2 linked regions of the Coturnix japonica genome follow. Each later gene encodes a partner of the first gene's protein in a complex. Links are inferred from orthologs where the notes say so. Each region holds a gene or a part of one and is shown on either strand. Other genes may lie near its edges.

Evidence for each region.
Region 2: TAF8 (region 1) and TAF13 share a complex: the UniProt entries of both Homo sapiens proteins name them as parts of the TFIID basal transcription factor complex. The link is inferred for Coturnix japonica from reciprocal best matches to the Homo sapiens genes TAF8 and TAF13.

The regions. Positions count from the first base shown.
Region 1 is NC_029541.1:4,761,350-4,776,673, forward strand, and holds TAF8 (transcription initiation factor TFIID subunit 8), read left to right. Parts: upstream 1-6,728; 5' UTR 6,729-6,752; coding exon 6,753-7,016; intron 7,017-7,970; coding exon 7,971-8,127; intron 8,128-8,430; coding exon 8,431-8,529; intron 8,530-8,748; coding exon 8,749-8,811; intron 8,812-9,161; coding exon 9,162-9,286; intron 9,287-9,583; coding exon 9,584-9,731; intron 9,732-10,110; coding exon 10,111-10,253; intron 10,254-10,713; coding exon 10,714-10,857; 3' UTR 10,858-12,281; downstream 12,282-15,324. Other genes in the region: PIFO (protein pitchfork), read right to left, coding at 13,485-13,553, 13,660-13,786, 14,082-14,215, 14,606-14,704, 15,030-15,172. UniProt on the Homo sapiens protein: The TFIID basal transcription factor complex plays a major role in the initiation of RNA polymerase II (Pol II)-dependent transcription.
Region 2 is NC_029516.1:74,702,317-74,717,685, reverse strand, and holds TAF13 (transcription initiation factor TFIID subunit 13), read left to right. Parts: upstream 1-5,857; 5' UTR 5,858-5,963; coding exon 5,964-5,990; intron 5,991-6,082; coding exon 6,083-6,161; intron 6,162-6,250; coding exon 6,251-6,348; intron 6,349-7,676; coding exon 7,677-7,847; 3' UTR 7,848-8,295; downstream 8,296-15,369. Other genes in the region: GTPBP8 (GTP-binding protein 8), read left to right, coding at 1,983-2,294, 2,391-2,489, 2,636-2,766, 3,118-3,217, 3,824-3,942, 4,170-4,254; NEPRO (nucleolus and neural progenitor protein), read right to left, coding at 9,046-9,424, 9,824-10,074, 10,406-10,467, 10,729-11,087, 11,399-11,463, 11,778-11,928, 12,034-12,110, 12,907-13,061 and 1 more; protein spire homolog 1-like, read left to right, coding at 14,035-14,281, 14,947-14,978. UniProt on the Homo sapiens protein: The TFIID basal transcription factor complex plays a major role in the initiation of RNA polymerase II (Pol II)-dependent transcription.

The sequences.
Region 1 (15,324 bases):
GATTGATGGTTGGATGCACAGCTGAAAACTACAGTGGTGCCTTACAGACCAATTTCCACTTCCATCTCCTGCCACTTTGTGCACCTGCAAAGCTGCCTGCCAAGACCCTGCAGACCCAACTAGGTGCTTAAGGCTGAGCACATGGACACTTCTGAGCTCACTCTGCAAACCACTCTGGAGGTACTAAGCTGAAATGGCATTCTGGCAGCCGAGATCATACTGAGTTTCCAGCCATCAAAGAATTTTGCTGTGTTTAGGCATGAACACGGCAGAAACCCTTTGGAGACAGACTATGGCACACAGAGCATCTCAATAGTTATTTCCCTGCATTCAGTATCACAACCATGAATACCTGAGAATCTCCTCTGCAGAGTTCTGCAGTTACTGTGATGGTGCTGATCATCTGGGGTATCACAAACCTACATCAATCAAGCTATGAATGCAGAGCAGCTGACCTACATGTCAGTATCCTATCAGGCCAGGGTTGAGGAGGTGGCCTGAGAAGCCACAGCTGGTTCTGTGTAAGATGACAGAAAAATGCTGAGATGTTTTTTGGCTGACAATGAGAAGTGTCACACCCCCAGCTGAAGTATTTGAGGAAATCTCTGCCAAATCAGAGACTTTCTGGGGTATTTCCAGAGGAGAGGTTAATTCAAGGCTCTGATTATGAATGAAACTGAATACAATGAATGAAAAAAAAAAAAGAGATCAGACCTCCCCACTTTATTAACTTTCTGGCTCAGGCTAAGTTTAAACAAGGATAGTTGGGAAGGTACTTTCCACAGGCCTGAAGTCCATCTGTGCTTGCCCAAGCCCAGCTCCTCCATAAGACACGTACATACAAAAATGATATCTGTCCTGAAGACAGCAAATCCCCAAATGCTCGAGTTTCAGACAGACCACTTACAAGTGGAAAGCCCTTACAAGAGAAAGTGCCAGCTGCATATGCAAAGGAACACTGAGAAGCAAGTTTGTGCAAATGACTTCTGGGTCAGAGCAAGTAGATTTGTGTGTATGGCTGACTTGTGCTGTGTTGGAAGGAGCAAACAGGACACCGTCTCACTGACCTACAGGGCTGTTTCCTGCCCTTCATCTCCCATTTGCACAAACTGCAGGTCCTGCATTGCCAGCACCCTTGGCACCCCCACTCCATGTACAGGCACGAGGCAGGAGGACACAAGCCAGCACTCCTGCACCAGCTGACTTCTGCTCTCAAATAGGAAGTTGATAAAAATCTCACTTGGCTGCAGAAAGAAAATCAGATTTCAAAACCTCTGCCAAGAGGCCTCCAGAGCCCATCAGGAGATCTGTCACTAACCCTTGGCAGCAGGAAGCCCCTTCCCACTGCACCTGAGGCAGACACCAGACACCCTGGTTGTGCCTAGTCAACTCTTTGAGGATGTTTTCCTCTCCTGAGCTGTTGCTTATATTCTCCTGTTTTGTTTTTTTAATCTTGGGATCTATCACATGTCAAATGTGCTTTCATCAATAAGTAGGTTGGGGGCAAACCTTGCAAAAGGCCCCAGGCACATGCACACAGCATGGCACTGAACAGGGCACGCTGCCTGGGGGCAAGCAGGTGCTCTGTGCTTTTCACCCCTCTCCCCTCTTTTCTCTCTGCGTACTATATCAGTCTGTGATTAAATCAAGCCTGTTTAACCGCCACAAGCAGATGTGAGGACCCCATTCGTTACAGAAAAAAAAGGAAAGAAAAGATGGCATGTGGTAACAGTTGTCTGCACATGAAACATGGCCTGCAGCCCTCTGTGAACCCCAAAGCCACAGGATCCTTGTTTGGGGTGTGGGAACTCATTTTCTCAGACCCTCAAAGACTCAGTTAAAACAGACCCTGCTGTAGCTGAGGCGGAGGAAACACACACACTGTGAGACACCGCGTGTCCTCCCAGCTCTCAGTCCTCCTTGCCCAAGGAGCCCCTTACAGCACAGCCAAGGTAAGCTAACAGGGCTTCACACTGAGAAGATGCAGAGACATAGGAGGAAGAGAAGGAAGGAAAGGAAATGATATCCATCTCCATGCCCAGCACAGGGAGATGAACAGCCAGAGCAAGCAATGAAGCCTATCGTTGCCTCCCAGATGGCATGGGTGCTCAGAGACATGCTGCAGACTGCAGGCCGTTAAGAACAGGGCTGTCATACCCACAAGGCTTTATCAGTGGCTGTTTCTTCTTTCTTTCTGTCTTGCTCCAAACTCTTAATTTCTAAAAAGGGTGGGAGATGTCACAGAATCAGCAACACATCCTGAACAGCTGTTGCCACCCTCTATCTCTGCCTCACCCCTTGTCCCTGCTGCTTCTGGAGCCCCCAGAGAGACAAACAGCTCAGCCTGGCTAACAGGAGGCCCTGATGCTACACCACCAGCCTGGAGTGCTGAAGACCCCTGGTGGGATTCAGTCCTGGGTTCCCATTGGGACGGATGCATTTCCTTGAAGTGCTTTGCTCAGGAATGCCAACATTCTTAACACAACAGAATTTAACAGGTATCTAAAGGTGATGGTAACCCCACTCAACACCACTCTCGCAAAGCTAAACAACTGCGTGAGCCCCAGCTGAGGAGTGGGGGCTCTTCACAGCCCACCCAAACAGCTTTCCTGTCCTGCAGAAATGAAAAGGGCTCAAAAGAGGGATCCCAAGCCCAGCTGGGATAAGCAAACTTGCACAACTGCAGCTCAGAAGCTTATGATCGAATGCAGGAATTGCTTCTGCTGGCCCCATAAGCTCCCTGCCTGGGGATGACACAGATGGATTCACCTCGTTCAGCTGGAGGAGACAGCCCCAACCCAATCCAGAGAGCAGCAGGATCCCAGACCCCTGCTGGATCTGTGCCTGGGGGAGCAGGATTTCTCCCCCACCCTTACCCTGGAAGGGCAACACCCAACGTGTGGTTTCCTGAAGCAACAGATATTTGTCAGAGAAAGCAGTAAGGAACACAAATGTGGTAAGTGGCCTCTGCTGAGCTGTGCAGGTTGGCAGTGCTCATGCTTTGAGGTAAGGCTATCACCCTGTTAGGCCAGCAGCAACACCCTGCTCTTTGCAAGATATCAAAGGCATGGGCAATGCAGCTCAGGCTCAGAGCAGACATGGCTTCCACTGGCAGGCTGCAGCCACAGAGGGAAGCGTGCAAAAAGCAGACAGGCACATCATCCTGGCCCAGCTCTACTGCTGACATCTGCCTTACCAGTGACTGAACCTACTTGTTGCAGCACCTCCTCCAGCAATGTGAAGACATCTACAGGACAGACAGATGCCTGGGGTGAGGAGCAAGGCTCCAGCACCAAGATGCACATTCTGCTGTACATGCCCTTGGCTCTCTGCCACTAATTGCTAAAATACTAATTTACAGCATATTCCATAGCAAGGGACTGCATCAGTGCTTGCTGCATCCAGCATCTGGCACACCTGAGGTAGCTGCAGTTTGCCAGAGCAAGGGTGGTGACAAAGAATGACAGCTTGTGGACGGGACTGGGCAGAGATCTTATGTTCTCCAGCACAGGCCCAGCTGTATCACCTGTAAGGATCTGGAGGGCACAATATCACCACACCTGACACTGTTCCTCTGCTTCTCTTTCAGCAAACTCTGCATCTGAACTCTACATCTGTTGATCCAGCAACCAGCTCAGCCTATCTCCTCATCACCTTCGGGCTCTAAGGTTTGAAGAAAACAGAAGGAACAAAATGCAGAACATCCACTGAGTCATTGATGAGGCAGGAAAAGCTGACCTGGAATCTGCAATAGTTCCTGGCAGCAGAGGCTCTGGACAGCCTGGAAGTGTGGGTTTACATGCTTGCTGGATTAGATACAGCACTGACTCAAACACAACTATGAGCTAATGGGATGGGAAAGAACAGTTTTTACATCAGCTAAATAGCATTACAATAAAAAGTCCAGTGGATATCAACCACCCCGGGCCCACTTTAATCAGTAAAGATGTTCTGACACTCCAGTTAGGCCAAAAGAAAGCTCCTGGGATCTCCCACTGGGGCTATTTGTAGTCTTGATGAAATGGCTTCAAGCTTTACTCAGAACTCCAAGGATGGAACACCTAACTCACGCACCGAGATGGATCCTGCACTCTGGAAACTCCATCTTACACACATGCAACATAATTTTGAGAAGATTTATGTGAACTCCAGAAGTGACCCAGCAGAGCTGCACAGATCCCCATCCCATGAGCCCAGGCAGGGCAGTGCTTTCTGCCAAGACATCAGCCTCCTCCACCAGCAAGCAACAAGTCCACAGGGTATTACTTCACACAATCATATTGCCAACATTAACACCACTGTTGCTTTAGAGAGGAGGTTATTTGTCAATAGTAGCAAAGCAGCAACAGCCTCACTGCATTCAGGTCATGATCTCTGCAAGCAACAGGCCAATGTCCTTAGGAGAAACATTCTCAGACGTACAGCTTATTCCCTCCTTGCCCTTGTCCTGTGCATCAAGTGCTTGTCACTATCATACTATGCAACAACCCTTACAATGCATTAGTCAAGGAGCTTGGGGGCTTCACTTTTCAGAACCACATGGGCACAGGGAAGGTTTTGGTGACATCCTGACTGCTGTAAGGGGGCTGTAAGAGTCTAAATGAATTCGCTGCTAGCTATTTTGGCTTCTGACATAAGCCAGTAAGAGCACATGGTGACAACGTGCCCTCTGGTGGCAGTGGTGCTGGGGGACAGAAGCACATGCAAAAGTTCACCCCCACATCGACCGCAGCAATTTCCACCTACCCATCTCTGTTGCTGCTCAGAAACACCAGGTTCAAACACCAGGTTCCCACACCAGATCCCTGCAGCCCCCCCTTCACCAGCACTGCCCAGTTCAGAACTGACAAAGCCTTGGGCTTTCCCTACCAAAGAGTGGACAGTCATCCATTCCCATCATTCTTTACAAGGCTGAATTTCAACAGGCTTCACAGCTTCTCCCCCCTGGGACCGTCAGTATGAGAATAACTATTCAGCTGTAGCTCTCTGAGGTTTAATGTTTGTCTGGGGTGACACAATAAGGACTTGGGATTCCCACCTCCTACATCTTCTTTGAAATAATCTGCATGAAATTCTGTAAAAACACGTGAGCTTCTTTCCTTTCTCAGTCTGAGACCGATCTGAAAGTTCTTCTTGTTGCAAAAGGAAGCGTTCCAATCTCTGGGAAAAAACCCCATGCTCAGGAAGGCGCACAGACTCCCACCATCCCACATCTCCTTGTTTTGCTGCCAGCTGACTGATTTCACAGCACTGCAGAGGAAGCTGGCACCATAAACTGGCAAACGTTTCCAGCAGCAACATCGATTCCCACTCCACATGGGCTCCAAAATAAGGATGTCACCCTCCACCTATGGACACGAACAGCCAGCATGGTTCTGCTCGCTTCCAGATTCCTTCCCTTCCACATCAGATCCCTGGCAACATCTTTCAGCACAGCCCTGAAGCTCTCCTTGTTTCACTTCACCCCTTTCCTCTTGGCTGGCCAGTCTCCTCCGGTGGCTGCGAGCAGCTGCTGCTTCACAGACACACAAGAAACCCCGACATCACTGAGCAGCCAGACCTTTATGGAAGCATTTCCCACTCCCACCCTGCCAGGCAAACGGAAGCCATGCATAACAGAATGATGTACCTGTGCCATAAAACAGGATGCAGCACCTGTGATTTTAGGGACTTCTGCACATATTTAGCTGAGGAAAATTCCACCAGGCTCTGGATTTTCAGTTTGTAACTGAGTTTAGAAGGGACTGCAGTGCTCTGGTTAGAACCCAAGGGCTCCAGCTGACACCACCACCAATGTTATGTTATGTACTGTAACATCAGCGGGTGCACTTTATCAGTTCTGAGAGCAGCTCACAAGGCATGGCAGTACTTATTGATGGGAAAAAACGTGCAGAGGAGCAAAGAGATTGTGTCTGGTTATTCAGCAGGCTGGATGCAGCCAGGACTGGAATCCAAAATAACACAGTGCTCTGCACCAATAACTAGAGCACCCAGCAGCCCTCACTGCAGGGCTTCCCCTGCTACCCCCTCCTCAGAGACACCCTGTGTACAAAGAAACAGCTTTGTTCTGAAGTGTATGATACTGTGGGATGGGGGAAAAGTATTCCCAAGAGTAAAACAAACAAACAAAAAACCCACAAAGCCAACGAAAACCAACCGGGCAGCACAGGGCTGGGATCTCATTTATCCAACAGCTCCCACGTGTGAATAAACCAAGTAATGCAGCCACCCAACATGAAGCCTGAGCCTGTTCTCAGCAGCTTCACTCGGCTGCTTTGAGCTCCCAGCTGCCACATCCCTCCATATAACGCACATCACTCCGCCCCACAATCAACCAGCAGGTCACAGCTCCACCACACACAGCGCTTCCATTCCCAGCTCCTTGTGCTCCCTCACACTCCGTTAATCACTGCCACCAATTCCAGCAGCCAGCACAGCACACACAGCCCCGAACACAGCGAGGGACCGACCCCGCCGGGCACAGCAGAGCTGGGTGCTGACACCGCCACAACAACGGCACCTTCACACACCGGCAGCTCAGGCCCAGGCCGTACTATGGCAGCAGCTCCCCGCTCCATCCACCCATTATGTGCCTCGTACCTTCACCATCCACCAGCTCCGCTGCCCGGTCCCGTCCCGCTCCTGGCTGTTGTTTACTCTCCACACGGCTCCGGCATCGCGGGGCGGGGCTGCAGGTTCTCGCAGCTCTCGGGGCATCGTGCAGCGCTGCCGGGCCGGGCCGCTGCCCCGCCATGGAGCCGCCGTTACCGGAGCTCATCGTCCCATCGTTGTTGTCCCATCGCCGTCCCATCGTTGTTGTCCCATTATCGTTGTCCCATCACCATCCCGTCGTTGTCCCGTCCCGGTCGCACCGCGGGGCTGTGGGGGATGTTGGAGCCGCCTACAGCCCCCACAGTGCAACGCGCGCCTCGCCGCACGGCCCCACCGCCCCGCACATGCGCACAGCGCTCTATGGCTCCAAGATGGCCGACACGGCGCCCGGCGGTTCCGGCACGGTAACGGCGGCTCCTCGTCGGGCCGCGGGGTCGTTGTGGGAACGGCCCCTCCGGGCGGAGCGGCGCGGCCTGCACCGGGAGCGGGACACTAACGGCTGCGGGCTGAGCGCGGCGGCTTTAAGGGGGAGCTGAACGGAGGGAGGCGCTGATTGGCTGCATGGCTGCGTGGGGGCGGGGCTTGGCGGCAAGCTGTGATTGGTCCGAGCTCTGATGCAGCGTTTAAAGGGACAGAGCGACTATGGGGGAACGTGTGTAAATATGGGGATATGAGTATGGACAGGCACTGCTTGTAGGGCGCTCCTAAGGTAAAGCCTCCTATTTATTCGCATGGAAGCTGCAGCAGGTACAGCACAATCATACTGTGTGATCAGGTGTTTGCACATCTGGAAAGCACTGCTGTTTAACACGGTCACCACCATTGCCCATATTGGCACTGGAGAAGAGCTGCATGCTGCACTCATACTGCTGGAGTGACCCACTGTTATCACTGGAACACGCCGCACTGTGCTCACAGCGGCTGCTCTGTCTCCAGAAGCATCTGCCCTCATCCAGGAACACAGTGATTCTGTGCTTCATTCACACTCCTTCATTACACACCGTTATGTCCAGCTGCTGCCACCTGTCACACAGCAATGTAATGTACACAATGTAATGTACACAATGTAATGTACACAATGTAATGTACACAATGCTGGCAGGAAGGTTCAGCCTTTACCCCGCCTCCAACATCTAACCCTGATGTCGACATCATGAAATAGGAGGCATTACTTTCAGAGCAGTCCTCATGTGTGTATGTCTGTACATGTGTGTCTGTGTAGGTGGGTCTGTACTGTGTGTAGGTAGGTGCTGTGTATGTACACCCGTGATGTGTGCAGGGACAATGTGTGAGCACAGAGCGAGTGCTGGCAGCTCGTCTGGGGCTCAGGTTCAGTGTTTTGGGGTCTGTGTCCACAGCGGTCGGGCAGCAAGCACACGACCACGCCAGCAGATAACTACTACCTGGCCCGAAGGAGGACACTGCAGGTGGTGGTCAGCTCCTTGCTCACTGAAGCCGGCTTTGAGAGCGCTGAGAAGGCTGCGGTGGAAACACTGACAGAGATGTTACAGAGCTGTGAGTGTCGGGTGCCACCAGATTTAGGGCAAAATCACCTTGAAATCGGTTCACATTTGCTTTCGCTCTTTCTGTTTTTCGTTTGTTTGTTTGGTTTTGTTTTAACTCTTTAACTCCCGGTGCTTTCCATGATGTTATGATGTGCAATAACAATAACAAAAATCATAAAACCATGACACTAGATTTGATCAAAAGTCAGGTGTTGTGCTGACACAAATGTGTGTTTGCTGCCTGAAATGAACATGGAATGTGAATAAAATAAAATGAACATGTAATGGTTGTTGGTGGTTTTTTCCCCTCCAGATATTTCTGAAATTGGAAGGAGTGCAAAGTCCTACTGTGAGCATACAGCCCGAACACAGCCCACGCTGTCTGACATAGTTGTTACTTTAGTGGAGATGGGTGAGTAGCTGACTCATCTCACTCATTCCACATACATACAGTGGGTGTTCTGTGTTGCCATGACAGTCTGTTCCTGGTGTAGTTGTGTGATGTCGGCTGTTCTGGGTTGCACACAGAGGCTCCAGTATCACTGCTGTTGATGTAGTGTGTATGCACACAGAGTACATTATTTTCTTTCTTCTTGGTGTGATTCCATTTTTCTCTTCTTCTGTATTTCAGGGTTCAATGTTGAAACACTTCCTGCATATGCAAAGCGCTCCCAGAGGATGGTGATCACTGCCCGTATGTGAGAAGTCCTTTTCTTGTGCAGGAAACCATTTGTCTTTTCTATCTGCTGGCATCCAGAGAGCTGCTGCTTTTCTCATGGATGGTGTAGTCCATTGCTCCGGGGCACTCAGTTTGTGTTAAAGATTCCTGTAATTATGATGTAGTAGGTGAAGGAGAGTGTCTGTCCTTTGCCAAACCTGTTGCTTTTGCTTCAGTATCCTCATTGCACATGAGAATCCTCAAGGTGGTTCTCCTTGTGTAGGAGGGGTCATGTAAGCCTTGTTCCCTTTTGGGATGCCAAATACAACCTGAAACTGTTGCTTGTGTCATATGCTCATGTAGTGCATGTGCTTTTTTAACCATAGCTCCTGTGACAAATCAGCCCGTGACTCCCAAAGCCCTGACAGCTGGACAGAACAAGCCACATCCATCCCACATCCCTGGCTATTTCCCTGAGTTTCCAGATCCTCACACCTACATCAAGACACCAGTGAGTGAAAAAAGACTTTTGTGCCATTTGGTTTCTGTCTGAAGTCAGTAATGTTAGGAAAGGTGCATGTGCATTCTTATTGTAGTGCTGTTCCTGAACATTGTTTCTGCTACCTTGGCACAATGCTTGTCATTTGCATATTGTACTTGCTCTAGTTTTATAGCTGATATCTGTAGCTGTTTGAAAACGTGCACATGTTGAAGGTCAGTGCTTGCCTGCATCCTATTAGTGTTTTGAACTTGATCTGTCTTCACTGAATCTAGTGACTGTACTTGTTTTGTCATCCCTGCTCTACAGACGTACCGAGAGCCAGTGTCCGATTATCAAGTCCTACGGGAAAAGGCAGCATCTCAGAGGCGTGACGTGGAAAGAGCTCTCACCCGCTTCATGGCTAAGACAGGAGAAACACAGAGTCTCTTCAAAGATGATGTTAGCACATTCCCATGTGAGTTATCTTGGAAACCTGTGCTGTAAAGGACAGTTCTCTAACAGAGTGTACATCTGGTGTTCTTGTGATTGCAGGAGGTGGGCACTGAGGGATCACATTGTGTTCAGCCTTCTGAAGCACGGGAAGGGAAGGAAATGAGGGACTTTCTATTTTAAACAGGCATAAAAACCTTGGGTTCATAAATGACTTGTGCAAAAGTTACAGAAATTCAGACAGCACTGGCTTCTACTCTAAACAAATTCCCCCTTTCTTGTGATGGTGGTGAAGGCTTTGACTGATACATCCTATCGTTCCCTTATCCCAGTGCTGTCAACTCAGTGCTGAGTTGATGATCTGTCTCCCTTCCTGCTCACTGCATGCTTTTCCCCAACACTAGTGATTGCTGCCAGGCCATTCACCGTACCCTACCTGACGGCTCTTCTCCCCTCGGAGCTGGAAATGCAGCAAATGGAAGAAACAGATTCATCCGAGCAAGACGACCAGACAGACACAGAGAACCTGCCCTTGCATATGAGCACGGTACGCCCACCCTCAGGTCTCTAGGGCCTGATTTTCTTAAACATATAAAACCTGGTTCTTTGCCTTCCTTGCAGCTGAGCATAGGGGGTGGAAAATGGCAAAGTAGGTTGCATTTTACCGGATGTAAATGACTAACATTGTCATGGTTGTTTAACTTTCTGCAAAATATGTTGTACATTGAGGTTATCTAATGGTGGATCACGAGCTTTCAATGCAACCTTTATTTCTGTGCTAGAGGAGAGAGGATCATCACGCTATTCTATGCTGTTCTCAGAGGGGATCTACTTATATTAAAAATCTGCAGTTCTCACCTTCAGTGCAGCTTTTTGTTTGCTTCTGTTTATCTTGGCTGTTGATTATGTTTCTCCCATGTGTTTTGTGGTTTGAACTTCTAAGCCCTGTTAAGACTAACTTTGGTTATTTATGCTTTTTTTTTTTCTTTTTTTCTCTCCTGTGTCAGGATGATTCAGGACCTGAAAAAGAGAATTCTTCAGTATTACAGCAGAACACCTCCTTGTCTGGCAGCCGGAATGGGGAGGAGAATATGATAGACAATCCTTATCTCCGGCCAGTGAAAAAGCCCAAGATCCGCAGAAAGAAATGAACTGTAGTCAGCTGGCTGCTAGAAGGAAGAGGAGCCCATTTCTCTGGCTGTTATGAGTAGTCACCTCTGCTGCTGTGGGTATGAGGCGTGGAGCAAGACAGAGGAGGCAGTCTGACCGAATGGCAGAAGGAGAGGAATGATCTTTGTCTGCCTGGCAAACTACACTGTCATCATTGTTTGCAGTGCTCCCTCTTCCTCCTCTGCTTTCCTCCTAACTGGGAATGCTCAGTGGTCAGTTGCCTTAAAAATGGTAAAAGCCACTGGGTTATAGATGGGAATTGTCTCATTTGCTTTGGTTTCTTCTCACTGTTGAGGAGGTTTACTCTCTTAAGAGGCACAGGACAAAAAGATTCTTGCTGCTCTACAGAACACAAAGACATCATTTGTTTTTGGCTGCCTTACAAGCTAGAAAAGAAACTTCTGCAGTGAACCCTGTTTGGCTTTATAATCTGTGGTGCATGTATGAAGAGAGAGAGAAAAATCCCACAGAGGTTTCTTTCTTTTGATTGTTGGCAGGTAAAAGCAAACACATTTATCAAAGAGTGAAGTGTAAATACAGAGCTAAGATGAGAGTTATTCTCAGCTTTTCTGACTGCAGCTGCACTTCCAACTTAAAAGTGCTGAGTGTGGTGTTTACCCTACTCTGCTTTGAGGTTATTTTCTAGCAGTACCAATGGCAGGATTCAACAGCTGCCTCGGGCTCTTTTCTAGTTCTGTTGTTAGGTTCAATGCAGCACAAGTCCTTTGAGAGTTCATGCCTTCACCAGCTGTTTTGAAAGATGCTTGCTGCAAAGCTTGGAATATAGAATAAAGCTGTATCGATTACAGTCTGCAGGGCTGTGCTATTGATCATGCTTTTAAATTTTGTCTTTGTTCAGATATGGGCTTTAATCAACAAAAGTTGCTCTTTTTTGTTTCTTTTTTGTTGTTGTTCCTTTTTTTCCTTAGATAAGGAACTTTGTTTCAACTGTGAAAATGAGTGCTGGTGGGATTGCTCTAATTGTTATCCAGTTTTGGAGGCCTTTCCTTTACTTTATGTTCAGTCTTTACTTAGGGAAAATATACACAGATATATTATATATAATATCACCCAGAGAGGAGGAAGAAGAGGAGGAATTATTTCAGCAAGAATGGAAGTATTCCTGTTAACCTATTTGAAATGCCATCTTTAGCAAAAAATTAGTCCTGCGTGTGCCATTGCCACTTCTGTTAGTGCCTTTGTTGTACAGAAAATCAAATGTACAAAGACATGATGTATATATATATGTGTGTATGTATATAAAAGGATTTATCTTTTTTTTTTCTACTTTGGATTAGGTGTTTTTCATAATGAAAATATCCCTTTCTGGATAGGGGAGAATCTGGAATGAAAATAGTATCTTTAATGTTCCTAATAAAAGAAATTTTATCTTCTACTATTAAAAGTGACTGAGTCCATAAAATTTCAGACTGAGTGGAAAAAAACACCCGAGTGGAGCCTGAATGTTTGCTCAGTGGGGTCTGGTGAAGTTCTCACCAACATGTAGGAGGTCTTTATTCTGCTGCTGCGTCTCTTCCTTTCTTTGCAATGATGTTTGATTGCTGAGAAGGTTGGGAATTTTCCAACACAGTGTGTTCAGTGAGGACAGAATACTTCCCTTTATAAGAAGTTTTTTTTCTCTGTCACAAGTGGAACATGTGGTTGGAAAAGACTGCAGAATCCTTGGTGTTTTTTAGTTGATTCTACATCTTTCTGGTGTGTGTTTTTTCTCCTCATGATAAACTCAAGAAAGATAAAGTATACGTTGTCAGCCATGATTGCAGTGGTGGAGCTGGAAGCAGAGACATTAAAAAAAGGTTTTACAGCCATAATCTGCAGGGAATGACACCTCCTCCTTGAAGATTTTTCATCAACAGTGGCAACTGAGAGTCAGCAACAGCATCCCTTTCTGACAGCTACAGCTACAAAGCTGCCTTGTGTGGTTGGGAGGGTTGTGCACTGAGAATAAAGGCTGTCAGCAGCTGCACTTGAAGCCCGAAAGTGGAAAACTGGAAGAATGTATCTCATTTTTATAGTCAAAATTGGGCTGCAGGTGAAATTGCCACAGACGCAGCTAAGCAGACCCAAAAAATGGAAAGGCTGTGTTGTGGTTGGTAGTTATTTCAAGTACAAATATTGTGAGTTCCCAGTTTTCCCCTGAGATCTGATCACTGTGCATGCAGCCGAGCTGTAAATATTTATAGCAGTCTCTACAGGCTTCACGCTACAGAAGCACCTGAAGCCAAACACCAGAACCTCTCTGTTTCACACTAGGTTTATTTTTGTGGCCTCACACGGTTCTCATAGATTGAGAGAAGCTCTTTATGTGCATAGGGACAATGCTGGTCAGCACAGGCATGGCCATCTGGTCTGGCCATTCTCAGCACTCCATACACCTGGGCCAGGAGCTGAGGGAAGCAGTGCTGAATGCTGGTCCTGGTGATGCCAAACACCTGCAGAGTCAGGAAAGACCATGTACCAGGTCAGGCAATGAAAATCAGCAAGCAGAAATGCTGCTTTGAACAGGTTTTATTTGAGGAGGCAGAATATTGCAGGCAGACGTGTCCACGGGCAGGCTCTGCTGCATGGGGCTGACGTGATGTGTGCCTCAGCTCTCATATAAACTCAGGTAGGCCACACGGTTCCGATGCTTTATGAATTCTCTGTCCGCAATCAGCTGAAAGAAAAGAGCACAGGAAGACACCAGGTGGTGTTGAGAACTGCAGGCTGCTTTACCAGGTGGTTTTCCTGACCCTCAGCCAATGTTTCATCCCTGTCCATACCTTCTGAACCTCTGTTCTTAGCATCCTCCTTGATGGCATTGGCACTAATGACCAATCTGGAGCTCCAAACTTCATTGGCCAAGTGATGTTTTTGTGTAATCGCTTGTCTGCATTGTAAGTTCCAGGTCTAAAGAAAACAGAGACAAAGTATCTCATTTCTAGATGTGGTGCACGATGTTTGCAATATGAGAATTAACCAGACCTGCTTAGACCTATGAGAAAAACGCATTTTATGGCCTCCTAGTCATCATCTTAGGTTGGAGACTAAAGCAAAGGAGCCTTTTGAAGATACAAACAAACAAACAGAAACACCAACAAACAAGAAACCACTACTGGGAACTCAGTTCCATTTCTGTCTCAGTATTTCTCTCCCCTAGTAGCCCCGCTTGTTGTTAGAATATTAAGAAAATGAGTTATATTACCCAGGGAAAAATTCTTTATTCTGAGGCTTGTCAGGAAATCGTGTTGTCTTAGATAAAAATGGAGCATAGTTAGGCTGGTGTTTTCTCTCTGTAGTCCAGAATGGCTGGTATGTTCCTGGTGCAGGAGTCACAGTCTGCAAGGGGAAAAAAATCACTATATTTTGTTCTGCAAACCATTTCTGGATGCTCTTAATCAGAGCATTTAATGCCAACTAGCTCGGCACTGCAGACCTGCTGTTCAGTGCATGCTTTGGCTACACTGATCGCATAAAAAGAGCAGAATAAATCAAATCTGTGCTCCCCGCTATTTGCCCAGTGTATCCTGTGACATCTCTCCTGACACAGTGTTAATCCTCAGAAGCTGTGCCAGTAAACTAGGTTTGTTCTGTTAGTACAACTTCAGCTCCCTTCCTGATTTTGCCTGTTACTTTGAGCTGGAGGCAGGCCCAGCATGTGATCATTACTTACAGCCTATGATAGATCTGCCCACAAATTCCTGCCTTTTTGAAGCATCCTTTTCTTACCCGTGGCTCTGGTATGAATCTCCGTGCTGTTCTGGCTCCTATCACGTAGCCTTTCACACTCAGTGGCCTTATTCCAAAAGAGTATCTGAGGCACATTTCCTGTGGTTAAAAAGCAGAAGCATCAAAGGAATAGGAGAAGTACCTGAGCAGCAGACACTGTTCCTTTAATTTCTCACTAATTTATAGTATTAGGACAGCTGCAGCTTTGAGGACCAGTACATTTAGAAGGTAACTTTTCTAGGAGATTATTTTTTAGGTATATATGCAGATTTATACAATGGTCTTTACAGGGCAGGCATGGAGTATGCTGTGTCAGGCTGGCTGTGGTCTTATTACCTGTTACTTATTACTTCCTCCTTACTATTACTCCTATAACATATGTCTTCTGTGAAGGAATAGTTCCGAGAATAAAAGACAAACTTACCTCCTGACTCGGGTAACAGCCTGGTCCTAGGGTGGGGATTTCTGTGCTGGCTTCTGGCTGGATTGCGATCTTGGCTGGAGCATGGTCGGGAGGGAAGAGTTCCTGATCGTTGAGTAACCGAAACGAAATGCGCCTCTGTGAAGCTGTGAAACCAGGAGAGGAGAATGTGATCAGTGTGATTCACACAGGTGGAGATGACCACTGCTCTTAGTCCTGAGGCATCTGCTGCTTCCTGAAGTGAGCCTTATCTCTCAGCTGTCCCTGGATATCCTGGAGGGGACAGATCTTTGAATGA
Region 2 (15,369 bases), on another chromosome or scaffold:
GCAGCAGTTGATTTAAACACATCCTACTGGCTCTATCACAAAAGAGTCCTTGTGTGTAATTTTCCAGATGATGATACACTGCCACAACTAGTGATGTATAGAGAATAAAATCATAAAATCATTTGAGTCCAACTCCCTGCAATGAAGCAGGGATCTGATCTAGCACCTACAGCTAGATCAGGTTGCTCAGAGCCCCATCCAGCCTGACCTAGACTGTCTCCAGAGACAGGACATCTACCACATCTCTCAGCAACTTGTTCCAGTGCTTCACTACCCTTACTGTAAAAAAACATTTTCCTCATATCCAGTCTAAATCTCTTCTCTTTTAGTTTGAAACCATCTTGCCTCATCCTGTCAACACAGACTCTGCTGAAGAGTCTGTATCCTTCTTTCTTATAGCTTCCCTTTTGGATACTTGAAAGGCCACTCTCAGGTCTCCCCAGAGCCTTCTCATTTCCAGGCTCAACAGCCCCAGCTCTCTCAGCCTGTCCTCACAGGGGAGGTGTTCCATCCCTTGGATCAATTCTGGGGCCCTCCTCTGGACACACTCCAGCAGCTCCATGTCTCCCCTGTACTGAGGACTCCACATCTGGACACAGTACTCCAGGTGAGGCCTTACCAGCACAGAGTAGAGGGGCAGGATCACCTCTCTTCATCTGCTGGCCATGCTGCTTTGGATGCAGCTCAGGATACAGTTGGTTTTTATAGGCTGTGAGGGCACACTGCTGGCTCATGCCCAGCTTACCATCTAACAGTACTCCCAGGTCCTTCCCAGCAGGGCTGTGCTCCATCCTGACATCCTCCAGCTTGTGAGCAATATAGCAATCATGGGGGTTGCCACGGACCCATGTGCAGGAACTTGCACTTCAGTTTGTTGAACATCATGAGGTTCACCTGGGCTCGCTGTTCTTGCCTGTCTGGCTCTCTCTGCATGGCATGGGTATGCTGACCACACCACTCAGCTTGGTGTCACCTGCAAACTTGCTGAGGGTGCACTTGATCACAGCGCTGATGTCACCGATGAAGATATTGAAGAGCAGCATTCCCAGTACTGACCCCTGAGAGATACCACTCATCACTGATCTCCATCTGGATACTGAGCCATTGACCACCACTCTCTGGGTATGATCTCATAGTCATTTCCCTGTCCATCAAATAGTCCACCCACCAAATCCATATCTTTCTAATGTGGATTGAAGGATGTTATGGGGAACTATGTGACAGGCCTTACTGAAGTCCAGATAGATGGCAGTGGCTCACCCCTTGTCCTCTGATGCAGTTATGACATCAGAAAAAGCAACCTGGTTGGTCAGGCAGGACCTGCCCTAGGTGTACCCATGCTGGTTATCCCAGATTACCTCCCTCTCTTCCACCTACCTTAGAATAGCTGCCAGGAGGATCTACTCCATGATCTTCCACTGTACTGAGGTAAGGCTGACATGTCATTAGTTCGCTGGGTCATCCTTTCTATTCTTCTTAAAAATGGTTGTGACGTTGCCTTTTTCTCAGTCACCAGGGACTTCACCTGGCTCTTGATATCATCAAGTGTGGCTTGATGACTTTGTCAGCCAATTCCCTTAGGACTCTGGGATGCATCTCATTGGGACCAATAGACTTACAGATGTTCAGGTTCCTCAGGTTCCTCATAGCGAGCAACAGCAACGTCTTGGAAGCTCCTCCTATTACGTGGGGGTCCGACCTTTTGGATCACCTGGGCTGCACAGAATGAAGGGGAATTGTTTTGGGCAACGCTTACGTCTGTTGCTCCCAAAGTAATGGCTTCTAATTACATCCATGGAAACTACTACAGATACACAGAGCACATAACACTATTTGATTGAGCGATTACTCAGCACAATACAACTCCCGTTCACTCGGCGCATCCCATGCAAACCAAAAGCTCGGGCACATAACGGGTTAAACGCTGGGTAACGCCGAGCCCTCCCCGCCCCGCCCTCCGCCTTCCGGGTATCGCCGCCGCGATGCTGCTGCTGCGGGCGGCTCGGAGCCGGGCCGGGGCTCGGCCGGGTCGTGGTTTTCCTCCACCGCTAGCCGCCCTCTCGCAGGTCTTGAAGCTGGAGCGGAACCGCCGTGACGGCATCATGTTCCCGTTGCAGCGGTTAGCCCGCAACCTGGCTCCCGGCGCCGAGGAGGCGGCCTTCAATCTGTTCCAGCCCGGGCTGAACGCGCTGCAGCGCGCAGAGGTGCTCTTCACCTCCGGCCGCGGCCACAACATCGACTACGTGAGCTCCGCCGTCCGCATGGAGCACGCCCCGCAGCCCGCTCTGCCCGAGGTCAGGATGCGGCGGGGAGGCCGGGCGGGCTGGATTTGATGCCCCCGCTGTGCGCCGTGCGGTCGGTGTGGAAGTGCTCGCTGTTCTCTAGTGCAGGTGTGCTTCATCGGCCGGAGCAACGTGGGCAAGTCGTCGTTAATCCGGGCCTTGTTTTCGTTGGCTCCAGACGTGGAGGTCAGAGTGTCGAAAACTCCAGTAAGTGTCGCTTATAACTTGGCTCCCTCTGGGCCAAAAGCTGCTTGGTAACCCAGGCGGTGGTATGGAACTGAGACCGCTTCCCATGTCCCAGCTGCCCATCTTAGCATCTCTTTCTTCTTTTTCTTCCTAAATCTTCCCCCCAGGGCCACACAAAGAAGATGAATTTCTTCAACATAGGGAAGTACTTCACTTCGGTGGATATGCCAGGGTACGGCTACCGTGCCCCAGAAGACTTTGTGGATATGGTGGAGGCTTATCTGCAGGAGCGACGCAAGTAAGGGACCTCAGTGCATCAATGAGAGATGAATGCTTATATGCAGATTCACGTAATCAGGTGATAAAACACCACAGAGGTAGCAGCTTTCAGTGGTCGTGTTGATGAGTCTGAAGTTGTTCACTGGGAACCTCTGTGGTGACCCTCATTCACTCACTCACTCATGCTTAGACAGATCAAAACTGCAGAGCAGATGGAGGTGCTGCTCCATGCTGAGCTCTCAGTGCCATGCACAGCTTTTCTTGTCTTGTCTTCCTCCAAATCTTACATTTCTTCTTGTTGCTTTGAGTTTGGCAGTAGCACAGCAAGACAAAATAACGGTGCTGCCTTTATCGCCTGTATTTCTGACAGCTTGAAGAGGACTTTTCTATTAGTTGATGCTGTGGTAGGAATCCAGAGCACGGATCTTATTGCAGTAGAGATGCTGGAGGAGTTTGGGATTCCTTATGTGGTGAGTAGTGCTTTGTTCTTGAGGAGGTGGAAGCAGTATGAAAACTTGACTTGTGTTAATTACCTTTACCATATAACTATAAAGGAATGTACCCCCTACCTGAGCTTTTGCAGGCTGTCCTACCTGACTAGTAATGCCATCTACTCCACCTTTCTTTACTGATAATAAAATAGATCAAAGTAGCAAAATTACAGAATCACAGAATGACCCGGGTTGGAAGGGACCTCAAGGATCATGTAGTTCCAACCCCCCTGCCTGGCAGGGCCACCAAACATACACATTATCAGGTGCCCAGGCCCGTCCAACCTGGCCTTGAACACCTCCAAGGACGGGCCATCCACAACCTCCCCTGGGCAGCCCAGGGCCTAACCACTCTCCTAGTGAAGAACTTCCCCCTAACATCCAACCTAAATCTTCCCTCTTTTAACTTAAAACCATTTCCCCGTGTCCTGCTATTGTCAGCCCTTTCGAAGAGTTTACTCCCCTCCTGGGTGTAAGTTCCCTTCAGGCATTGAAAGGCTGCAGTGAAATGCTCCAGGAAGTCTTCCAGGCTAGCACCAAAATCATCTTTTCCTCTCGCAATCTTTTCTTTCTGGATCCACACAGATGGTGTTAACAAAAATTGACCGAGCTTCCAGGGGACTGTTGTTAAAGAATGTTCTGGGGATCCAGGAGTTTGTAAAGGAGAAAACCCAGGGATGCTTTCCTCAGCTATTCCTGGTCAGGTAATGCTCTTTTTTTTTCTTGCTGCTGTGCCTTGTAGATGATGATTTGCACTGACCAACCTACCTTCACCTGGAACTGTGTTAGCTATAATTGATTACATTAGAAGTGCTTACTCTATTAATGTTGTATTGCAATGTGGGGATGTAATTTAAGTGGTTGAGTTTGCTTGTCTTGCTTCAAGATACTGTAGCATCAAGCACTGAACATCATACCTTTGTTTCCACAGTTCTGTGGAGTTTTCGGGAGTCCACTTGCTAAGGTGTTTTGTAGCCCATGTTACTGGAAACCTGCCTAGTGTAGAGTCCAGTTGAGAAGTCTGGCTCCTGATCTGCTCAGCTCATCTGGAACAAAAGGTACCAAAACCAGAGGTCTGGATTGTTGTTGTAAGAACCTGAAGCACCACAATTATTTTTGGATAAACTTTTATAAATTTTTGGCTAAAGTAATGTTTGTAAAGGCGAGCTTTTTGTTTAATAAACTTCTTAATCACTGTGAATGAATCCTGGGTACTACACAAAACCTATGTGTTTGTGTCAAGGGAGGGAAAAGAAATAATCAGAGAACCTCCAGAGAGAAGCCAGGTACTTGCTTTGTTGAGTTGAATGACACCTAGCAGTTTAAATGAGCGTATGGGCACCCTGCCTGCTCTAAGGCTGTCCAGAGTGAAAACAGTCAATGCTTTGTTTGCAAAAAGCTTTTTGGAAACTTGTATTTTTTTCACTATTGTAACTCCTCTGCATTGTGCATTCCGTAGGTTCAGCGTGATAGCATGGCATGCCTTGCTTGTCTACATCTGGTTGTCCCTGTTACGGGCAGATGTGGAAAAGGAAACCTACTTTATGGGATCTGCCTCCTGGTTGGCTGTTGGCTTGAAACAGTGGTGATGAATGAACAACACCTAGCAGAACTCTCTCCTCCTGCACTTGATCATCACTCAGTGTTGCATGAACCTTCTGTTTTAAATCCCACGTGAGTTCTGCAGCTGCGCTCAGCTCAGTTACCAGAGATGGGTCCATTACCTACATCTGTCCTGCCCTGGGAGCTGAAGCACAACACAGAGGTCCTGCAGCCACTGTACCTGGCTAAGGTCAAAGGGAAACCACATCTGGTACAGAATGTACAAAAAGGACTGCCATTAAATAGCAGTAGTTGTACACAGCAATTTAGACCAAAGCTAATAAAGTGCCTGTGTCACACTCTGGCACACATCTTGTCCTGTCTTAAGACTGCCAATTCTGCGTATACAGTTGCTGAGGTTAACTTACATTAAATGTTTATATCTCAAGGAAAAGTGATTCTTTCATAACCCACTCTGAGGCTTGAAGGTGGTGTTTCTACTGTTTGTTACGTTAAGGAATGTCCTGTAACTCTCAGATTAGGCTTGAAGTTTGTTTCCAGCAGATATGTAGGAAGTGGCAGGATGAAGAAACCAGCAGGGAGATGTGGATCTCCAGTTTCTACATGTAAGCAGAGATCAAGCATGTCATGCTACCGTTTTGCTTCTAATCCCAAAATGCACCAAAGCAAACTGGCCTGTGAGTGTCTGATTCTAGAAATAAATACAGTAGGATCTAGAGAGGTGGAAAACACTCAAGTCAATGTTTTGGGAATAATTGTGTGTTTGTATCTTAAAACCAGTGTCTTTCAAAAGCATCAGTGTAGTCCAAGCTGTTATCTTCAAGGCCTCAGTTTGTTATGTGCAAGATTTGGAAGCTCTGTGACAGATGTGGCAATAAATAAAATCGAATTAAGCAAGTGCTCCATAGATTCTTCTTGACTCTGCTGTCCAGTAAAGTTTTGTTTCTCCAGTGCCTGTACCTCAGCTGCACCTTTTTCTTCCTCTCCTTCGTCTTCCTAAGGAAAAAATCTTTTGAATAGCCTAAGTTCCCAAGGCATTTCTCACACTAGATGAGTGAGGGGTGGGAAACAGCCTGGGTGCTATAGACACGGCACAACAAGATGGCGGCCCCCAGGGGAGGCGGGAACGGGAAACCGGAAGCGGTAGCGGGCTGTGGCGGCCATGGCGGACGAGGAGGAGGACGCGCCGGTGAGCGGCGGGGATGGGTTGTTTGCGTTCAGCCTCGGGGCGGGAGGGAGCTCCCCGTTTAACGGCTTCCTTCCTCCGCTTTGTTCCTTCAGTTCGAGGAGGACTCCGAGGAAGCCGGCGGCGGTTTGGACGGCGGGCAGGGCAAGAGGAAGAGGCTTTTCTCTAAAGAACGTGAGTCCAGGTTGGGGGGGGAGCTCAGGGTGGGAGCGTTACTGATGCATTGAGCAGATGGAGGCCTCACGCTGTGTGTATTCCCGCAGTAAGATGCATGATGTACGGATTTGGAGATGACCAGAACCCTTACACGGAATCTGTGGATATTCTTGAGGACCTGGTGATAGAATTTATCACTGAAATGGTAAGTCAGTGGTGTGCCAAACACGGGTCTGTTAGCCTTGAGAAAAGAAGACTGAGAGGGGATCTGATCAATGTCTGTGAATATCTAAGGTGTGGGAGGCAAAGGGATGAGGCCAGACTCTTTTCAGCGGCATGTGGCAATATGACAAGGGGAAATGGCCACAAACTGGAGCATGGAGCCACACAAATGTGTGCAGGAGCTTCTACATGGAGAGGGTGACGGAGCACTGGAACAGGCTGCCCAGAGTGATTATGGAGTCTCTTTCCCTGGAGCTGTTCAAGACCCACTCGGACTCCTACCTGTGCAACCTGGTGTAGGGAGCATGCTTTGGCTCCCTCTGCTTCAATGAAATTCCTTCAGCATTATCCCAGGCAAAAACTCGTGTGCTGCTGGGAAGAAATCTAAACTCAGATATAAGAGGTTGGATGTTAGGGGGAAGTTCTTCACTAGGAGAGTGGTTAGGCCCTGGAACAGGCTGCCCAGGGAGCTTGTGGATGCCCCGTCCTTGGAGGTGTTCAAGGCCAGGTTGGATGGGGCCCTGGGCAACCTGATCTAGTAAAGGTGTATGTTTGGTGGCCCTGCCAGGCAGGCGGGTTGGAACTACATGATCCTTGAGGTCTCTTCCAACCCGGGTCATTCTGTGATTCTGTGATTGCCCTTCCGATATTAAGATAGAATTAACACATTTTACTCCACATGGATTTAGGGCAACGTTCGGAGGCTTTAAGTAACAGTTAGGGGAAAAAATCCATAGCTGACTTTGAGGCACCCAGTGGCATCGCTGTGTGTTCTGCTGACAGATGGCTCAGCTTTGAAATGTTATGTGCTTCTTGTGTTCTCTCAGTGCCTTTACACAGATGGAAATGCCACACCATAAAATAAATGCAGCCATCTGGGCCCTAAAGCCACTGCTGATCCAGACATTTGGATACAACTTGAGCACTTATGTTAAAAAAAAAGAATAAGAAAAGTGGTATTGTTTGTGGATCCCTTCTCATGAGAAGTTAGCCTTGCCTATTCTCAATAGAAAAAAACTGTCCTCTGATGCAGGTATTGCATACTGCATGCAGATTCTGCTTGATGCTGTTGCTCCTCAAGCACTTTGCAGATCAGGTGTCCCCTCCCCAGTCTGCCTTCAGTTCCAAAGACATTCCTGTTGTGTGTGCAGTGGTACCCAGTGTATATGAGGTACTGCACTTGGATGGCAATGCCCAGATCCTGCACTTGCTGCCTTCTAGACTGTTTAAAATGTCAGTAAATACAGTAGGATTGAGATCTGAAAACAAAACTAAAAGGGGCAGAGGAACACTGATGTTTCTCTCTTGCAGACACACAAAGCCATGTCAATTGGACGGCAGGGCCGTGTACAGGTTGAGGACATTGTCTTCCTAATCCGCAAGGACCCCCGGAAGTTTGCCAGAGTTAAAGACCTTCTGACTATGAATGAAGAACTGAAACGTGCCAGAAAGGCCTTTGATGAAGCAAACTATGGATCTTGATTCTGTGTACAGGCTTGACTGGAGCGTGCTGTGGGCTCCTGTTGCTCAAGAGGAAGAAATGTCATGTGTGTTGCTTTGAGGGGTTATTTGAGCTGGAGATCATTGCTGCTATCTGCTCTGCCTCTCAGCCTCTTGTGGTAGGCATTCAAACAGCTAGATGTTAACTGATTACACATGGCGCTCCTAACGTGTTTTTATACCATTATGGGAATTTGAGAAATGAGCTCTAAAGATATTTTAAAGGTGAGAAGTCTGCAGTAGGACAGCTGAATTGGGAATCTACAAGGCCCATGACAAGCTCTTCTCTACTTTGGTTATGTCGAGGTATTTTGTTGACAGGAAACCTGGAAAATAGATGTTGGTTAACTGGACAAAGTTGTCAAGCCCAAACTATTACAAATTCTGCTCTGTACATAAACTTGAATAAAGCAACTCGAGTCTGTGCCCACTCTTCGTAACTACACGTACACTGATCAGTTAACGCAGGGCACATAAAAATTGTTGGCTATTGTAGCATCTCATGAGCTCTAAGTGCTGTTTCTGTCCTAGTAGACACAGCTCTCCTGTTTTTACTGTACACTTAGAGAACTGAAATTAACCTGTTCCAGATTTAGTTGCACTCAGATCCTTGCCTTGCCCCTGTTGGGCAGATGCTCCACTATAAAACTGATCTGACTTAATTCAAAGAACTTTTTTCACAAGATTAGGATCACCGGGTAATTACAAATAAGAGCTCGATGGAAAGCACTAAGCTTGTGAAATAATGTTAGAGCAAGGAATAAGTATGTGCTGGAATAGCTACACATTGCCAAGCAGGCAAAAACTGCACACTTGAAAAGACTTCAGGACACTGGGGGACTTGTTCACAGATAAGTTTACTCTTGCGGGCTCCAACTGTGCTTTGCCCTGTTTCCAAAGCAGCAGGATTTGGTTAACACCTTTTCAGGACAGGAGAGAAAAGGCACTGAGTAGGAAGTAACTCCAAGCTGCTGTCCCTGGACAAGGCTGGGTAAAAAGGATACAGATTACTCATCTGTTTTGAACACTGTTCCATAAAAAAGAACAACAAAAATGTTTACAAAAATAAGATCATTACTCCTTTGTTAATAGAACTCAGTGTATGAGGTACCAAGACACTTAGAGGCATTCCAAGTTCTAGTTAGAAAAACAAGACACGTTTCTTCTTCCTAGTCCAGAATCAGACACCCATTGCTGCAAAAATAGAGTCAATATCCACGTTGTCAGAATCTTCGTGCACAGACCTGGGGCTTTCTTTTAACAGCAGCTGCTTAGGAGTCCCTGCTGTACTTTGTTTGACAGCGGCCGTGTGAATGATGGGACATCCTTTCTGACTCGAAGGCCTCACAGTGGGTGAAATGCAGCTCACATGGTCCCCAGAAAGCTCCGAATGTTTTTGCTGAACAGTCCTCAGAGTTCTCTTTGAGCACTTGGAGAATTCTGCCCTCCTTCCAAAGATCCATGCCCTACGGTACTGCCTTGGCCAGCGCGTGTTCTGGGAGCCATACAGGAGGTATTTACAGAGCGTCATTTTGACACAGCGCAGTTTCTTCTGCAAGCTTAAGGGAAGGAAGATGAACAAGAGAGAACTTTACAGCTGTTACTATTACCTATGGTGTTTTCAGAGCTCTAGATATGGGCATTCTCTGCCATTCTGTCACACTCGGGAAATGCTACAGCATCTTTACATCATCTAACACCATTATGCAGGCACACAATCTAAGCTGCATTTTCATTCCCCCCTTTTATTACATATTCATGCATTTATTAACCCTTTAAATCCTCTCACAAGCAAAGCTATACAGATACTTGTATCAGCAATTCCAATGACCTGAAGATGTGATTGTGCTCAAGCTCAAAAATAAATATATAGGTCAGACCACAGCATTTCTCTACATTGTAGCAAAACATGTGAAGTTAAACTATCAGATCCAGAGCCCCTGTGCTCAGCAGAATACCTGCATCCTTGTGCCTCCACATGGTGCAGCCGATTGCTCTTCAACAACTTGCTGCGCAGAAAGTAAGCTTCTGATTTGAGTTTGTTGCCTTTGCACCACAGAATGGCTTTTCTGAGCGCCTCCGACAGCTCACCAAATGATGCAGCTGTTTGAAACATCTGTACGAGAGGCCCAGTGCGCTGCAGTTTTGCCACAGAAGAGGAAAGTGACACTGATGTTTCATTAAAAGGTTTTGATGTCAGGCATCTACCCTGAAACAAAGAAGCAGAAAAACAGTTGGCTTTCTAAAAAGGTGAGGTGCCTGCTGCTCTGCCAGGGAGGAGCAAAGCACTGTGTTTTGCATTTCTTAAGGAGAGACACACAGTGAGCATTTATATTCCTGTCTACTGACTTCTTCTGACTTCCTCTCTGGTCACTTCGCTTGACATACCAACAAATGCTTGCATAACAGAATGACCTGTTAGACAGGTAACATAAGGCAAGGAAAGAGGACATTTTCCATCATATAGGTAACACATTTCAAGTGTTAGGCTCTTCACAGCAACATAAAAGCAATCTTGTGTAAAACTGTGGTATACAAACCCCTTGTATTGGAGGTCTGGATGGTCTAAGCAAACTCTTCACATCAAACCATAGGTGGTTCTCTACAGAAAGAGAAGAGTTCCCATTAAGTAAAGAGTTTTAAGTCCTCACACAAACACACTAATGCTTTGCCCTGCTGAGCTCTCAGCTCTCCCGGTGTCTCAGCAGGCTTATGCCTGTACTCAGCATTTCAGGAGGGGAGTTTGTACCAGAACCACACTCTGTGGGAAGCAGAAGCATTTGCTCTGTTGGACAAAGTTGGACAAAGCGGTAGCCAGTCTCTGGTCTCAGATACCAGTATTGCTGTGGCAAAAAGGCTTTACCTCTGCTGCCTATGGTCCCCAGAACGGGTTCTCCAATGTCATCCGCAGGAATGCTGTGGTTCTTCACAGCTCTCGCATAGGTCACAAAACCTCTCTTTTTCCCAGCCTTTGATACGGCTTCTGATGTGGTTGGGAAGAGCTTCTTCAGCCAGCCGGTAGGTCTTCTTGCTGTAAGCATTTTAGCTTTTTGTTTCTTCACCTCAGCAGAAAGGTTAACTCCAAGAAAGCTACCGATATCAGCAGGGAAGGTAAATCCCTTGATGTAGGGCATCTGCTGGGTCTCAGACACCAGATGAAGCGATGTTGACAGTACGCCATACAGGGAGATGAGGTTCTGCAGTAAACACCTGTACTGAATCCTGAAGGGAGAAGACAAAGGTGTAGATTCTCTCCTAGCAAGAACTTGTGCTTATACTCACTGAACAACTGCCTTGAACTCAAAGGGAAGAGCTTTGTTCTCCCCCCAGTAGAGGCCCCTCTCTTTACATTCTCCACTCACACAACTCTTCAGGTGCTAGAACAGAGTCCAAAAGGATGGAGGGATCTGTATGATCTTTTTCCCCTCTCCTCCTAGCTGAATAAAGCTCACTCAACAAGAACGCTCTAATCACAAGCTTTCTCCCTGACAGGCATGTCAAACAGACAGCAAACAATTGTCAAATATACAAACCATAGCCGGCTCAACATGCCCAAAGCCACGGTGTTCATAAGTATGAATTCTTCTGAACAGACAAGCTGCAGATTACACCAGTTAAGGTTAAAGAATAAACAGTATGTAATGAAACTTGCTGAGCCCATCAACTACGGGCAATTCACAAGGCGATATCCTGAACAATTCGGGAGGTGCGTATCCAAACTTTGGGTTGCTCAAGGCTGGAACAGCAGCCAGCCAGCAGCCTGAGGTTCCTACGTAATAACTTGAAAATAAAATGTCTGACTAGCAAAGAATCTTCAAGGTGCACAAATGAATTGCAATGTGGACTCCACCAGCAGCACAGACATTCCTTTGGCCTCGTGAAGTGCTGCCGGTGAACAGTAAGAATATTTACATAGCAAAAAAAAGGATACAGAAATGCTTTACAGCAACAGTCTAGCAGACGCAGTATGAGCTTACAGCCTCCCAGCACCTTCACGGCCACTGTTTCCAGCATAGGCTGGCTGGGAACTAAGCACTCTGCTTGGTCCTGGGCTTTAGTTTTCCTGTGGCAAGACAAGGGCAAGGAGATGTCTGTGGTCTAGCATCTCCTCCTTCGGTTCCGTAGGCTGACCAATGGGTAGTAGTGCATACAGGGTCATGGCACTGACCTGGGAATCAGTTCTGCCAGGGTTTCAATGCAGCCCACCAAGTTCATTTTCCACAGGCGCTTCAAGCACTGTTCCACCTAGGGGAAAAAAGAAGGGAAAAGAAAAGGAAGAAAAAAAAAAAGGGAAGTCCTTCAGCTGAGAGACACCAATGCCCTTGTCTAAGAGCAGTCACTACTTTAAATGACACCTTCCCCTTATCAGTTTAATAGCAGACTTCAGGTTTGTGTGATACAGTGCTCTGGTCTTGTTGCCATATCTGCACTGTGACAGAGACCCCTTTATCACCTTACTGTGAATAGGAAATTAAGAGCAGGAGCAGATCACTTTTCATTGGCACTGTATGGTTTCTCCTGCAGCATATAAATGGATTTCAAGAAGCATTTAGACAATGCTCTGAGGTATGAGGTCTGATTTTTGGGTGGTCCTGTATAGAGCCAGGAGTTGGACTCAATGATCCTTACGGGTCCCTTCCAACTCATGATATTCTATGACTGTGGTAATGCAACATGATGGGGATAAAGTACAGAAGTCTCTGAAATCTAAACAGTGGATGTATGGAATGTGTTTGGGATTTAACCAGTCCTTCACCAACGATAACGAACAAATGAATGGAGAAGGTAAGAAGGACTGCTGTTTTATTTCAGCACAGTTGTTTGAAGACTATGACAACCCCTTTACTACAGAGCTGCTCAAGAGTTCAGCTTCTGCCTCAGGAGAGGCAACATCCGACAGAGCAGCCTGCAGTTCTTCCACACCCAAACCTCCCCTCTCCCAACTGAATCAAACAGCGACGAGGCACCAAAAGCTGAAATCAAGCTGCACTTCTCACGCTGTCCCAAGGCCTTCAAACCACCCCAGCTGCCCGCCGCTCACCTGCTGCATGGCCAGGTACGGCCGGTGCCGCAGCAGCCTGCTGTGGAACACGTAGAGCAGGGCCCGCAGGACGCGTCCCTCGGCGGTCAGGCTCGGCCAGCACAGCCGCTTCATGGTGCCGACACAACAGCGCCGCAGGGCCGGCAGGCAGCGCACTGCGAACGGATGGCACTCAGCGACCCACGCGAGCCCATCGCCCCCGACTCCGCTTCCCCATCCCTGCGGACCCCATGGCTCCGGTGCCCCCTCCCGGTTCCTCCCCGCCCCATCCCGGCCGTGGGGCCCGGCAGCCCAGCCGGGGACCTGCGGGGTGCTGCGCGTCCACTGCCACCGCGCTGCTGCTGGAGGGCCACGGCACGTCCACACGGTTCCACGCAGCTTCGGGCGCCGCCATCTTGTGCTGTGCGGGGCGGGACGTGCAGGCGGGGGTGCGGCCTGCACTCAGTCACACACGGCGTTCACAGAGCGCATCGAGCAGTGCTGTTCTGGATGCTGGGATCCGCGGATGAGGGAGGCGATGCACCAAGCTAAGGGCTTGCGGCAAAGTTCCAACCCCCTGCACTGTGCAGGGTCACCAACCAGCAGACCAGGCTGCCCAGAGCCACATCCAGCCTGGCCTTGAATGCCTCCAGGGATGAGGCATCCACAGCCTCCTTGGGCAACCTGTTCCAGTGCGTCACCACCCTCTGTGTGAAAAACTTCCTCCTAATATCTAACCTAAAACTCCCCTGTCTCAGTTTAAAACCCCCTTGTCCTATCTCTGTTTCCTCATACTTTAGCCAAAGATGAATGTTCTCTCACCTGCACCTACTAGTATTGCCATTAGTGTATTTGCTAGAGACAACCACATTAAGCTGAGAAGAACTTTTGCCCCACCTCGTTATTTTAGAATCCAGTGTGTTACATGCTTCCTGTTTTTCCCTCAAAGAGGTTTGTGCCAATGCAAATTAAAGTGGTGTCCCTTTAAAAAGCTAGAGCATAATTGGCATTAGCATTCACACCTGTGTGGAGCAGCGTGAGGGTTTGTTCCCTCCTTGGGTCATAACTGATAAAAGGCTGCCACCTGAGCATTCTCTTGTTCTGGGAACGAGGCTGTTAAGCTTCCTAGTGTAGCAGAGAGTTGTGAAAATGAACACGGAGTCTCCATGCTGTGAGCAGAATGCTGCAAAGATTTCTCTAGCTGAGATTCTGAGGTGCTTTGAGCACCCTATAAGCGAAGAACAAGCCTGGGCTATTTGCTTTTGGTGTTGCTTCAGGATGAAGGAATTAGCCCAAGGGCGGTACCCATCACTCCATTCTGTATTCATAAAAGGTCCGGGGAGCATCTTTATTCATGCTGATGGCACTGTTTCCTTCCGGGTGTATCATAAGTCTGGTAAGAGTGAAAGTAGCTGTGGGTGCCACGGGTTGCTTCTGTGATTGGTTGAAATTTAGGGACAAAGTGGAGAAAAGCTTTTAATTTTCCCCTTCTTCTCTGTACTTTCAGGTTGTTCTCACTGTATAAGCTGTTCTTCTGTCTGTGCTTTATTCTAAAGGTCTTTATATAAGAGGTAATGCAGATATGCCTGCCAATCTTTCTGTTGATGCTTTAGTGTGTCATTTACTTCTAGGGAATAGCTGGGATTCATTTACTGCAGCTTCTGTTATTTGAAACAAATAATTTGAGGTTTCATTTTGTGTCCTGCTCTGTTCATCTTCTAATCTGTTATTCCACCATTGTATTAACTCTCAAGCCAAATCTGTGACTGTTAGTTCTCCATTATTATTATTTATTGTTCTGTGTAGCTAGCAAACAGCAACAAGCTTTGTCTTATGCACTTGCACTGCTGTGGAGTTCATTGCTAGGCTGAGTGCAGGGACAAGAGTGGGTAGTAAAGAATGAAGACAAAGATCCATTGCCTTCCTTGTAGTTACATATGTACTAACAAAGAAAAGGAACTAACCAGTAGTACTTAAATTGGGGCTAATGGTCACAGTAAACAAAGGGTATCTTGCAGTGCAGTTATCATCCTGCCCTACCTCTTCTTGTTTCCCTTTCAGATGCTGGCAGTATTCAGCAGTCAGAGGAGAAGGTAAGCCTGTATCTTTGCTTTTGTATATGCACAGATATAATCCTGCTGTGTAGAAATCTGGTGTGGGAGGTGTAGGCGTCTAGCTGCCTTAAACTGACAAGGCATTTGTATTTACTGGGTACTGTGGGTGTGACTGTCCCCTGCAATCTGAAAAATGAAATAAAATGTTAGGAGTGAGCTCCAGTAAGACTATGGGACTGGTAAGCAAGCAGGGTGCACCAGTGCTGCTACTGTGGAATAATGTGTAGGCTTTTTGTCCTGATTACATCATTTAGAGGTGCTAGATAAGGTAGTTTAAAAGCTTAACATAGCTCACTGGGGAGTGTCCTAGGATACTTGAAGAGCAGTCATTTACTTTTTGAGCCCTTCTCATCCTGAGAGATGTGCTCAG